Linked DNA regions of Canis lupus familiaris. The protein of the gene in region 2 purifies or fractionates together with the protein of the main gene of each other region. This does not show direct contact. Links are inferred from orthologs where the notes say so. Each region holds a gene or a part of one and is shown on either strand. Other genes may lie near its edges.

Region 1 (5,721 bases), on a different chromosome or scaffold from region 2:
ACCTGCCCCTGTGTGGATCCCAACTCCACCCTGGCATCGGAGAACACCGGGGATGCCCCTGAGAGAGAGCCCTTAGGCAGAGAGGAGGCCAGGCATCTTTGGGGAGGCTCTCCTGAAAGTTCTTTGGGAAGGTGGGGCCCTTTGCTTGGGGTCTCTTCCCTCCATCCCGCTGTTGCCCTAGCTCTGCCCATGGGCCACTGCAGAGAAGACAGTGACAACAGGGTGGGCCAGATGACACAAGGAAGCAGAGCTGAGGAAGGGCAGAGTTTGGTGATGCATCGGGCTAGGAGGGGCCTCGGGGAGTGGGGACTGAGGCTCCAGGACCTGGCAGGGAGCCCTTCACACCCGCACTGACCTATGCCTGCCCAGCTCCAAGCCACAGATCTGGCAGGGAGTCCACCTCCACCTCTAACACTCTCAGGGAACGCACAAGTACAAATCAAAATTCCAAGCAGGTGTCAGGTGGGTCAGCCAAAGGGCTTTGCTGAGGTTGCCTGCCTGTGCATCACTAAGAACATGGGAAGGGGCAGGGCCCCCGTAGGTTCCCAGAGAGCTGGGAAATGCCCTGTCATACTCTCCCCCTTCTGTTTCCCTTTCCCCACCTAACCAGTTTTGACTCAGTGCCCTAGCCCCTGAGCTGCTCCCCTCTCCTCCCTTCAGGAGACTCAAGTGCCTCAGGGCTTTATAGTCGGGGTGGGGGGGGCACCATGGGAGGGAGCAGACACCCAGCTCAGTGCCTGGGTGTGGAGGCCAAGCTCTGCCCATCACTCTGCATCAACACGGAAGAAAGGGCACAAGTCTGGAATCCCCGACCAAGGTGCAGAGACAGCTGGAGCTGGGGCTTCGGCACGCAAGCCCAGCAAACTTGGGCATGCCCTAATAGCGGCTTCCTCGTTAGTACAATGGGCCTGACCATCTCATCCCTGAGCACTTGGGAGGGCCAGCTGAGATGGAGGATTTTTGAGGGCTCTTCAACCGCAGGATGCTACTCCAGAGGACAAATGCTGTTGTAACCCGTGGGTGGAGCATGGACACTCTGGTCAGCTCCTCATGGGAATGGCTTTCTGAGCTGTGGTGAATGAGCCAGGGCACAGAAGGTATCTGGAAGGGGCAGGAGTCACGGGAAAACTTTTCTGAGTCCTTCTAATTAGACTTACAGCTGCTTTGTAGCCCGGCCCCAACCAGAACCTGAACCCAAACCCAATCCCAGTCCCAGCCCCAACTAGAAGGTAAACTCAGATTTTGCCGATTCTGCCCCAGCACCGAGACTTTGGTTCCCCGTGGTAAGAACAGCTGGATTTGACATAAGATGAAAGTGTGAGAGAAAGCTGACACACCCTAACTCTCTCCCTTTCTCTTCCAGAACAGATGGCAGAAGGAATGGTGGTGATGGTGGTGATGGTGGTGGCGGTGGCAGCAGCAGCGTAGCAGCCTGAGGGAGCCTCTCCATTGTTTATTCAGTCCCAATAAGTTAAAGAACGAGGGCAGAGAAGGGTCTCCTAGACAAGGATGCTGTTAACCAAAGGCAAGAGCTCAGCCAGGTACTCAGAGGTGCCCACTGCTTGGCACAGGGGGTTGCCCTGCAGGTTGAGGAGGACCAGCCTGGGGCAGGAGGCAAGAGGCTGGAGCACCATGCGCTGCTGGAGGCCTTGGGCAGGAGAGTCAAGGAAAGCGTGCCAGGTTCCCCCAGACCCACGTGCTCCCGGGTGCCCATCACCAACTTCCCTCAAGAATGGGGACTGCTGCCTGGAAGTCTGGCTGACAGGCATCTTGCACATTTCCCTGGACGGAGTAAGGCTCCAGACTGCAAACCCCTGCCCATGGGGCCAGGCAGGAAGCCCAGAAGGCGGGCAGGCGTGGTATATATACTAAGGCCTGCTTTAACTTTCTTTTTGTTTTTGTTTTTTTTGTTTTTTTTTTTTTTAAGTAGACTTCACACCCTACATTGGGCTTGAACTCAAGACTCAGATTAAAAGTCATATGCTCTACCAACTGACCGAGCAAGGCCTCCCTAACCTCTAATTTTTTTAAGTAAAATCAGAATTCTAGATTTTTTAAATACAAAACTTCTTGATTTTTAAAATACTATGTGTTGGGATCCCTGGGTGGCGCAGCGGTTTAGCGCCTGCCTTTGGCCCAGGGCGCGATCCTGGAGATCCGGGATCGAATCCCACGTCAGGCTCCCGGTGCATGGAGCCTGCTTCTCCCTCTGCCTATGTCTCTGCCTCTCTCTCTCTCTCTGTGTGACTATCATAAATAAATGAAAAATAAAAAAAATAAAAAAAATAAAAAAAAAAAAAAGAAAAAAAAGAAAAAGAAAAAAAAATAATATTTTAAAAAAAAAAAAAATACTATGTGTTATCCAAGAGTATCTGCAGGGCGCTGGTTTGTGAACTCCAGCTTGAAGAAGTCACTCCCACCTGGCAAAACCACCAGCGCAACTCAACGATGCCCCACATAGCCCCAGGCTACCTCTCCTTAGTTGAGACTGCCAGACCCCCCTTTCCCACTCACCCCGCTGGCTGGCTGTCCCTTCCCAGCGTGGCACCTCATCCCTCCCACTGTCTGAAGGGCCCTCAGAAGGAAGGATACGGTTGTTACACAGCGAGAGCTCCTGCAGCCGGGGCAGGTTAGTGACACCGTCCAGGGACTCTATGGCATTATCATTGGCCTGCAGGACCTGAGGAGCAGGGAGGGCAAGGAAGTCAAGGCAGGGCAGGCAGCTGTCAGCCTGGGACTGGTGTAAGCAAGCAGGGGGGAGCTCAGGGCGATCAGCTTACAGTGAAGGGAAAGGCTGCTGGGGGCAGGTCAGGTCACGGGGACAGAGAAAGCAAGGGATCACCTGCAGGGGCAGGGAAGATGTGGACAGCTCTTTGGAGGGTGGGCCAACTTCAGAGGGAGAGGAGAGGGAAAAGGACCACCCAGGACAGTGGTGGAGGAGTGCTTTACCTCAAGGCAGCGCAGGGCAGCCAGGGCAGGGGGCAGGGCTCGGAGACGATTATGTGACAGGTCCAGATGAGTGACCAAGAGCAGCTGTTCCAGATGACAGAGTACCGTCAGATCCTAGGGAGGAGGATGAGACACCCAGGGAGACTTGGAGGAGGGTCCCCAGCCATTGCTCACGCGGCACTTACCCTCTGGGTCCCACACAGGCCCTTGGGGGCACTGGCCGAGGACAGGACAGAGCAGGTGAGACGCTTACCTTACGACCCTCAGCAATACACGCTCTGCATCAAAGACAAGGGACAGATGAGGGAGTGCTGGGGTGGGGTGGCTGGCAGGTGGATGGGGGGAGGCAGCCTAGAGTGGAGGCAGGTACAGGGGATGGCAGAGGGTGCTGGGGTAGGCACAGCCGCTGCCAGAAGCAGACCTGCTGAGTCTGGGGGGTCCGTCTGGGGGCAGTGGAAGGCTGCAAGGATATGACCAAACTGCTGCAATGGAAACACTGACTGGGAAAGACTACAAAGCAGGAAAACAGCCCGGGAAGTTTGTCAAACATCTCTGGAAGTTACCCAGCTTCGGGTGCTGGGGCCTGCTCTAGGGAGAGAAGCATCGGAGCGGGGGGTGGGGGTTTCAAGGAGGGCTCACTGGGAGGGAAAAATGAAGATGTGACTGGTCCCAGAGAAGAGGGTGGCATGAGGAGGCCCTGCTGACTCAGGATTTGAGACTGGGTAGCACGAACGATGGGGCAAGTGACAGAAGGCAAGATGAGGAAGGGGGATAGGCTTGAAGGGAGATGAATGCCATCTTGGTTAGGAACAAAGCCTAGAAAGGCACCTGAGACTGAGGCCAAAGCCAGGGGCACGGTGAGGCCAGAGTGCCTCAGCTCAAGCCCATGGAGCAGACACCAAAGCTGGCCAGGTCAGGAGGAAGAAGGCAGTCCATACCTTGTGACCGAGGTGCAGCACGCGCACCTCGGCGTACTCCATCTTGAGCAAGCTATTCTCTAGCAGGAACTTGCTGCGCAGGTCATCCAGGTACGCTGCCCGCATCGGGTCCACAGCCTGGGGGGGAGGGGGATGACAAGAAAAGCCCATCAGTTGTCTTCCTGCCACTCACTGGGCCTCTCCTGCAACCCCTGTCCTGTTCCCACAGGCCTGACTTGCCTTGAGGGTCTGGAAATACTGCAGTGTCTCTTTCTCATACAGCAGGGGGTCCAGTGCCCGCATCAGCAGGATGATGGTGAGCAGGCACCCTGAGGAGATGGTGAGGAAAAGGACTGTCTCTTCTAGATCCTCCTGTGCTCCCATCTCTTGAGACCCTTCCTGCTCTCCCCGAGAAGCCCTCCTGGAAAAGGACCTCCTCAGAAGAGCAGGATCTCAGGGAATGGTAGGGAATGGGGCCTCACACTTATTCTCAGGCTCCAGCTCCTGCAGCTCCTTACAGGATTCAAGTTCAGACTGCAGCACCGTGGACTTCTCCACTGACAGCTCACACCTGAGGATGGACAGGGCGGGGGAGGGGATGGTGTCTACTCTGGGTACCAGTCATCCCTGGTATCCAGTCTGAGACCATGTGCCCAAGCCCCCAGCCTCCCAGCCCAGTTGCCTGATGCCCAGAGTCCAGAGCCCCTCCCCTTGTCTGTGTGCTTCTCTGTCATCACCTGAAAAGCTGCTCATCCGTGGCTGAGTCCCGGCACCAGCCCTCCTGGTGGCCTGAGAACAAGAATGGGTAGTAGAAAGGGGGCCCCCGTGAGAGCAGGAGAGGGATGAAAGTGCTGCCTCAACGGGCAGAGGTTGTGTTACCTTTTAAAAGCACACACTCCTTTTGGGCATCGCCTGCTGTCCAAATGACACGAAATGTATGGTGGGGCAACTGGTCATTGAGGGAGGTGGCGGGCAAGTCACAGAGCTGGGAGCACTGGGTTAAGGAAATGCTTGAGCCTCACCACTTTTCTGACTATCCCACTCCAGCCCTGCCCCAGTTCCCCCCACTCTGCTCCTCGAATCCTGGGATACCCAGACGTGGCCAGGCCAGTTTCTGCCATCTGGGGTCCTCCATTCCACAGCCAAGGGTGACTCGTCCACCATGAGCAGCAATGTCTCTGTCCTGGGCCCCACCTGGCCCAGGGGACAAAGACAGACCTGTCAGCCCCACAGCACCAGACCCACATCCATGATGCTTTCTCGGAAAAGCTGCAGGACTCACCAGGACAGGCCGAGAGAAGGAGACAGTCAGACAGGCCTCATCTCGGCTCACGTGCAGGCAGCGCAGGGCATCCTGGGGGTCAGCTGGGGAAGACACAAACTCAGCTCCCCTTATATCCTCTTCTGTTCTTTCAAAACCCTAAAGACCCAGCCTCTTTCCCCACTGCTCACCTCTTCCCAGGAGCCAGCGGTGATAGAACCAGGCGCTCTGATCATTGGGGTCAGTGAAGAAGGCGTTCTGTACCAGCTCCAGTTCTGAAGGGGCCAAGGAGCATGGGCTATGGCCAGGACCCTGGTGGCTCCTGGCCACCCCAGCATCCCACCCTCCCCCTGGAGTGCTGCCAGCCCTCGGTTCCATTTATCTGCTGGCCTTGCACAGCAGCTGCATCTTTCCCACTGGACACTTGTGTTCCCTGCAGCCTGGGGCTGAATCTTACACACCCCCAAAGCCAGGCACAAAGTAGGTGCTCAATAAGCCCAAGCAGCAGGTTCAGGAACAGGGTTAGGTAACAAGGCTGGAAAGACAGCACCATAGTCTGCCCCAGCACCCTCTGACCCTGCTAACCTTTGAGGA
Region 2 (5,712 bases):
CCAACCTGAGCACCTCAATATAAAACTAAACACTGGTGAACTGTTTTCCTTACTAATTCTGAATTACGGTAAATGTACAAGTTCTGCTAGCAGTTCAACACTTAAATAGATTAAATCATCTCTGACACATGGTAGATTTCATATAATGAAAATACCTAAAACAATTAGTGCAATATACTGAACTGATCAAAATAAAATGAACTCTGGAAAACAAGGCTGCAAGACTGTTACTAACATACTGCAATAGTTATGTTACAAATTACTGGTACATTGTTTATTATGGTTCTAGCCATGTAGGAACAACTGAAGCCCCTTCCTTTCAAAGGGAGAGAAAAGGAAAAATTAGCTGTTTTAGTAACTGTACATTTTGTATACTTTTAAGCAACTCTTAAATATTACAGGAAAGTAATAAACATATATGGAGACTACAGTGCAGTACTCTATTTACAGTACAGCTGAAAATTGAATTTAAAATAATCAAGTTTGAATGTACATAATTGTTAGTGCATTGACTATATTATGTCCAAAGGGAACAAAGGCCCCCTCCCTGCCCCCAAACAACAAAACCTATGTAATGGCCAGCAGTGATTAAACAGAAATCACAGACACCTGGTTTGTTTCATTTCTGTTGAAGAGCTCACATGTTTGAAGGGAACACTATCAAGATGCATTCAATTTTCATATTCCTAAAACAAGATGAGGTTACGTTTGACCTTTTTTAACCCACTAAAAATACCAAGACTGGCTATAATTTAGATGCCACTAATGTTTGTGTTTTTCTCCCTGAAGATGTGGGACTGTTTTCTTGTGGCTAATCTGTTAAAATGTGGAATGTACATTTTAAATATGCATACTAAGAGAAATTACCAGTTTCCTGAATACTGTAGCTAAGCATAAATATCTTTAGAACTTCCTTCTAAAAAAAGAATGCTTTTGAAAAGCCCAAATTAATAAGTTCCAAATCTTTTACATAGAAGTGGCTGGTTAACTGTGGGTTTACATCATTTGTCTCTATCCCTGGTGATGAGAAATGATTCCCCTAACCGTCCAAGGAAACAAGCGTACACACACAGCTCTCATTCCCCCCTTCTACTTCTGAAATATTAGTCAGAGGGTCACATGCATGTTATTAAAAATTAAGTTCAAAACACTTAAAATAATTCTGTATTAGAAACTTGACTCTATCGTAAGTCTCTTCTTTTTGGAAGTCATACTGGGCTGGTTAAATGCTCCAATTCCACTGTCATTAACATTTAGGAAGCAGAAGAATATTCCAGGAAGTTCAAACTGGAGGTTTAGTTACTACAACACTGACTCCTGGTTGGCTGCGTGGGTTCAGTAAGGTCTACTCCTCTTCCTCTGGCAGAATTTGCTCCTGGATTCTGTGGTTCGTTCTTTGGCAACTTTTTAGCTGAGAGATAAATTATCAAAATAAACACAATTAGTGGATTCATATTAGAATTACTTTCATCTGCTTAATCTTTTTTTTTCCAGCTAGGTTGACCCAAACTATCACACAGCTGTATGTTCATTCTTTTCCAATTGCTTACTAAATATCTACTAGATAATACCAAATACTCTTCATTCGTCAGTCCTCAGTGAGGTTAGTGGGATAAGGGAAGGGTAAGATAGGGAACAGTTATATATAATTAAAACTTAAGTTGACTATATTTAATTTTTTACATATATTCAGTTAGCAATACCAGAATAGTAGTACTTTTATTTCATAATCTTTAATACTTCTATTGTTTAAAGAAAATCTAAGTTAATAAAAAAAAAAAGAAAAAGAAAATCTAAGTTAATAAAGATGATGGCCAGCCAATTATTTATAAAGAATCTTAGCTTGTATCAATGATCTCCGGACTGCCACATATACTTTCTGGAACAAGTCAGGATATAAACAACAAATGCCATCACTGTCACCCCAGCAGTACTGGTCCTCTATCATGCTACCTAATTATCACCCCAAATTCTGACAGATCACATCTATTTTCTTCTGGCTTACACATACTTAACTCTTCAAACATCTACCATGCTCCTCATTTATGGATGATTAAAAACCCTAATCCGATTCACTAGTAGCTCTGCCTCGTCTAAGGAAGACTTGATTCTGAAGTCTCTACTTCAAAAAATGATTTCCAGTCCTGAGCTGGATGATCTTGGCTTGTCACATTTGGACAAAGCCCTCAACTAGCAGTTATGGTTTTAGTTCTACTAAGCTTTATATAGCTAATACAGAGTGCTGGAGCCTGGATTCCACTGATTTAAAAACATACCTGTTAGATACAGTCTGCTTTGAATCTTAAAAATCCTTCATGTGCTGGATTCACTAAATATTAACTATCTCTGAGAATACTGACTGTAAGTGTACTAGATACACTATATCAACCTTGGGGAGAAGACTATTATGGGTGAATTCTAGCTTTACCTTACTATTGGCTCAGGTTACACAAAAGTTGGACATGCTCCACCTTCAATATCTAAATGTCTAGTTGCACTTTGGATCTTTTGTAATATTCCACACGAACATTAATCATCTTTAGAATCCTAGATGCTGGGCTAGGCAATGGAAGTTTGGGAAGAAAAGCCTTCACCTTCGACTACTTCTCTGGAAATGGCACTAAGGATGGAAGGGTAAATGGTAATGAAGTAGCAAATTTCCAGTCAAATACATTTTCAAACAAAGGTTTGTAGGGACAAAGAATAGGCTAACATTTATAAACTTTATTATAATTTATATTTTGGACTAAGAGATCATTTCTCTTTTCAATGGGTCTTCTGTAATTAGATCTGAGTGAAATTACGAGGTTGAAGGAAATAAACTAGAATAAGGAACTTTTAAGCTTCTATTTGGTAAACTTACACTGTGTGAAAATAAACTAAAATACAGCTTAGAAGTCTCAGAAGCAGCCCTCTATCTCTATCTCATATCTTATTTAATATTACCAAAGTAAAGCTAGTACTACTTGTTTGGTATATGGGCAATTGGAGCTTACCATCTGCCCCTGAATTAGGATCTTAAGAGGCTAAAAATCCAAATGAAGTTAATGAAGATGTGCAATGAAAGAAGTCATGTAAGCAAAATCTTATCAAATTGAAAGCAGATTATAAAATTATTGTAGACTTTCTCCTACTAAATGACTATATTCTCTTTTTTTTTTTTTTTTTTTTTTTTTTTTTTTTTAAATGACTATATTCTCTACAGGAAATCATCAAGAGTAAAAATAATGAGTGTACTGTACTGTGTGATCTAAGTTACCTATCTGGTAAACAACTAGAAAGGCCACAATTCAATTTAATGCTTGGTATTTCTTTCAAGGAAAGAAACATTGTAATTTCAGAAAAATAACTGAAAGTTCTAATATGTAGGCTATCTTCTGATTGGAAAAATATATTACCAGCACATCTAAATAAAAGGATAAAGTCCATATGCGGGTGCCTGGCTGGCTCAATCAGTACAGTGTGACTCTTGATCTCCGTGTCATATATTCAAGCACCACATTAGATGCAGATTACTTAAAAAAATAATAAGCAAGCAAGCCCATCTGGTGGTATCTTAGTACTATCAGAAAAGTTTAAAGTTCATTCAGCCTGATTTGAGGCTATTATTCCCTTGATTTCTGTTACTGGCTTTTCAGATGTGGTTCTGAATGTAATTTTGTGTTCTATTTATAAAAAGAGCACATTGTCATATAATCCTCCACAAGTATTTCCCTAATAAACTTTAAGCCTGAGTTTTTCAGTAAAATATTTTACACAACAGGCAATTTTTTTTCCTAATGAGCCTAAATGAGCTACCATTAAAACTCTCTCATCTAGTGAAAGATATTTTAACAGTACTTGTAGCATTTACTATATTTTCTTTAGCCTCTGAATCAGCTGTTAATTGGTTAATTTGTATGACTTCAATAAAAGGACTATTTCTTATTTGGGGATAAGTTTGTGGGCACCCTAGTTAATAATCATTGCCATATAATAAACATATTTTGGAATGAGAAGAGTGCTTGGTGCATAAATAGTGCAGACACAGTAAAATGCAAAAGCCACCCAAGTAGCCAATTCTCACAGAATCCTCACCTTAAGATTGTTGAAAGGAGGTTAGGATCAAGAGAAATACTTTTATTTTTGTTACAGAAAATAGGAAGCTTCCTTATTAGTGTTCCAATTTCATTACTTACAATCAACAAACGTGGAATCACAATCTTAACACATAAAATTACCTTAGGGAAAAGGTAAGAGCACTGCATAGGTTAAATGATCAGAGGTAATATGAAGCATGTTATTTTATTTTCCGTCTTTCTGTGCCTCAATAATTTGAAATTTTGTTACAATATTTGCATTATATTTGTCAATAATCAGTGATTTAAAACTAATGTGAGAAACAAAAATAGTGTTTATTCATGGCAAAATAGAGATGAAAATAGTTACTGATCAGTGAGAAAGTAATCTCTTTATGTCTTTATGTTATGCTGATAAATATTGTTCTGAGCTTATCTTCCTTTCATGTAAAAAAGATAATCTAATACAAAAACTTATTTATCCAAATTTCTCATTGAAATATTTAGAAAATCCATCTGCTTGAACTATTAGCTCAAAGTCCAGGCTTTCAATTTACCTAGAAGAGACTTAAACTGAAAAGTATTACAACTTAATAGATAATAAACAGTCTTTCAAATTTAACATTACTAACAAAGTAATTCTTGGTGGAAAGGATCTAGAATAGTAGTAGAATCATTAAAAAAATGATTACTTTTAAAAATACTTCTCAAAATTATTTACCAAAAAAGTAAGTATTTTTTTTAAAGATTTTATTTATTTATTCATGAAAGACACAGAGAGAGAGGCAGAGATACAGGCAGAGGGAGAAGCAGGCTCCATGCAGGGAGCCCGACGTGGGTCTTGATCCCAGGTCCCCAGGATCACAGCCTGGGCCAAAGGTGGCGCCAAGCTGCTGGGCCACCGGGGTTGCCCAGAGTAAGAATTTTTAAAAAGAAGACAGTCAAACCAAATATGCTACAGTGTAAGTATTATTGCCTATATCTACTGCTTGGAAAAAAATTAAAAAACTTACCTATTGCCATGAATATTTCATTTACATTCATCGATGTTTTAGCTGATGTCTCCATGAATAATAAACTGTTGTCATCTGCATAGGACTGTGCTTCCTGTTTATAAAACAAAAATATGATATATATCCTTTGCACATACTATAGCTGACTTATTTTTGTTATAGAATAAGAGGCTTCCTCATTACTACTCCAACTTGATTACCTAGAATTAGCAAATATATAATAATTAAGGTAAAAGAGGTAAGAGATCTTTTGTAGGATACCTTTTCAGTTCTTTTGCCTTAACTTCCTGCAGTATCCCCATTCTGATTCACCTAGGCTCACACTAAATTTGATTTCAAATAGTAAGTGCCAGAGGTTGGAAAACTGTCTATTCTAAACATAAAATTCTCTTTGATCTCAATGGCAAATTTTATTTATGCTTATTACTTTCAATGAAGTCAAAGGGAATCCAAATATCTAATGGCTATATTTTAATTCTTAGTATGTCATAAATCATTCCTTTAAAAATTATATTACTAGTCTACATTTTTGTCATGATTTACAGTTTGCATGTATTATTGCCTTTGATCCTCACAGTTGTGTGAAGAGCAACCAATCATCTTTCCCATTTAATGAAAAAAATGAGGTTCCTTTGAACTCT

The links. The genes of interacting proteins can lie anywhere in the genome.
Region 1: the proteins of RAB5A (region 2) and RABGGTA purify together in Homo sapiens (affinity purification with mass spectrometry; 3 studies listed by BioGRID and IntAct, counting the BioPlex papers as one, with this or other methods). This does not show direct contact. The link is inferred for Canis lupus familiaris from reciprocal best matches to the Homo sapiens genes RAB5A and RABGGTA.

What each region holds. Positions count from the first base shown.
Region 1 is NC_049229.1:4,368,620-4,374,340, forward strand, and holds the end of RABGGTA (geranylgeranyl transferase type-2 subunit alpha), read right to left. Parts: coding exon 5,713-5,721; intron 5,403-5,712; coding exon 5,319-5,402; intron 5,232-5,318; coding exon 5,149-5,231; intron 5,061-5,148; coding exon 4,959-5,060; intron 4,852-4,958; coding exon 4,746-4,851; intron 4,656-4,745; coding exon 4,604-4,655; intron 4,438-4,603; coding exon 4,349-4,437; intron 4,196-4,348; coding exon 4,107-4,195; intron 4,005-4,106; coding exon 3,888-4,004; intron 3,064-3,887; coding exon 2,950-3,063; intron 2,681-2,949; coding exon 2,593-2,680; intron 1,993-2,592; exon of another isoform or gene 1,649-1,992; coding exon 1,500-1,648; 3' UTR 1,434-1,499; downstream 1-1,433. UniProt on the Homo sapiens protein: Catalyzes the transfer of a geranylgeranyl moiety from geranylgeranyl diphosphate to both cysteines of Rab proteins with the C-terminal sequence -XXCC, -XCXC and -CCXX, such as RAB1A, RAB3A, RAB5A and RAB7A.
Region 2 is NC_049244.1:23,814,232-23,819,943, forward strand, and holds the end of RAB5A (ras-related protein Rab-5A), read right to left. Parts: intron 5,166-5,712; coding exon 5,072-5,165; intron 1,412-5,071; coding exon 1,296-1,411; 3' UTR 1,269-1,295; downstream 1-1,268. UniProt on the Homo sapiens protein: The small GTPases Rab are key regulators of intracellular membrane trafficking, from the formation of transport vesicles to their fusion with membranes.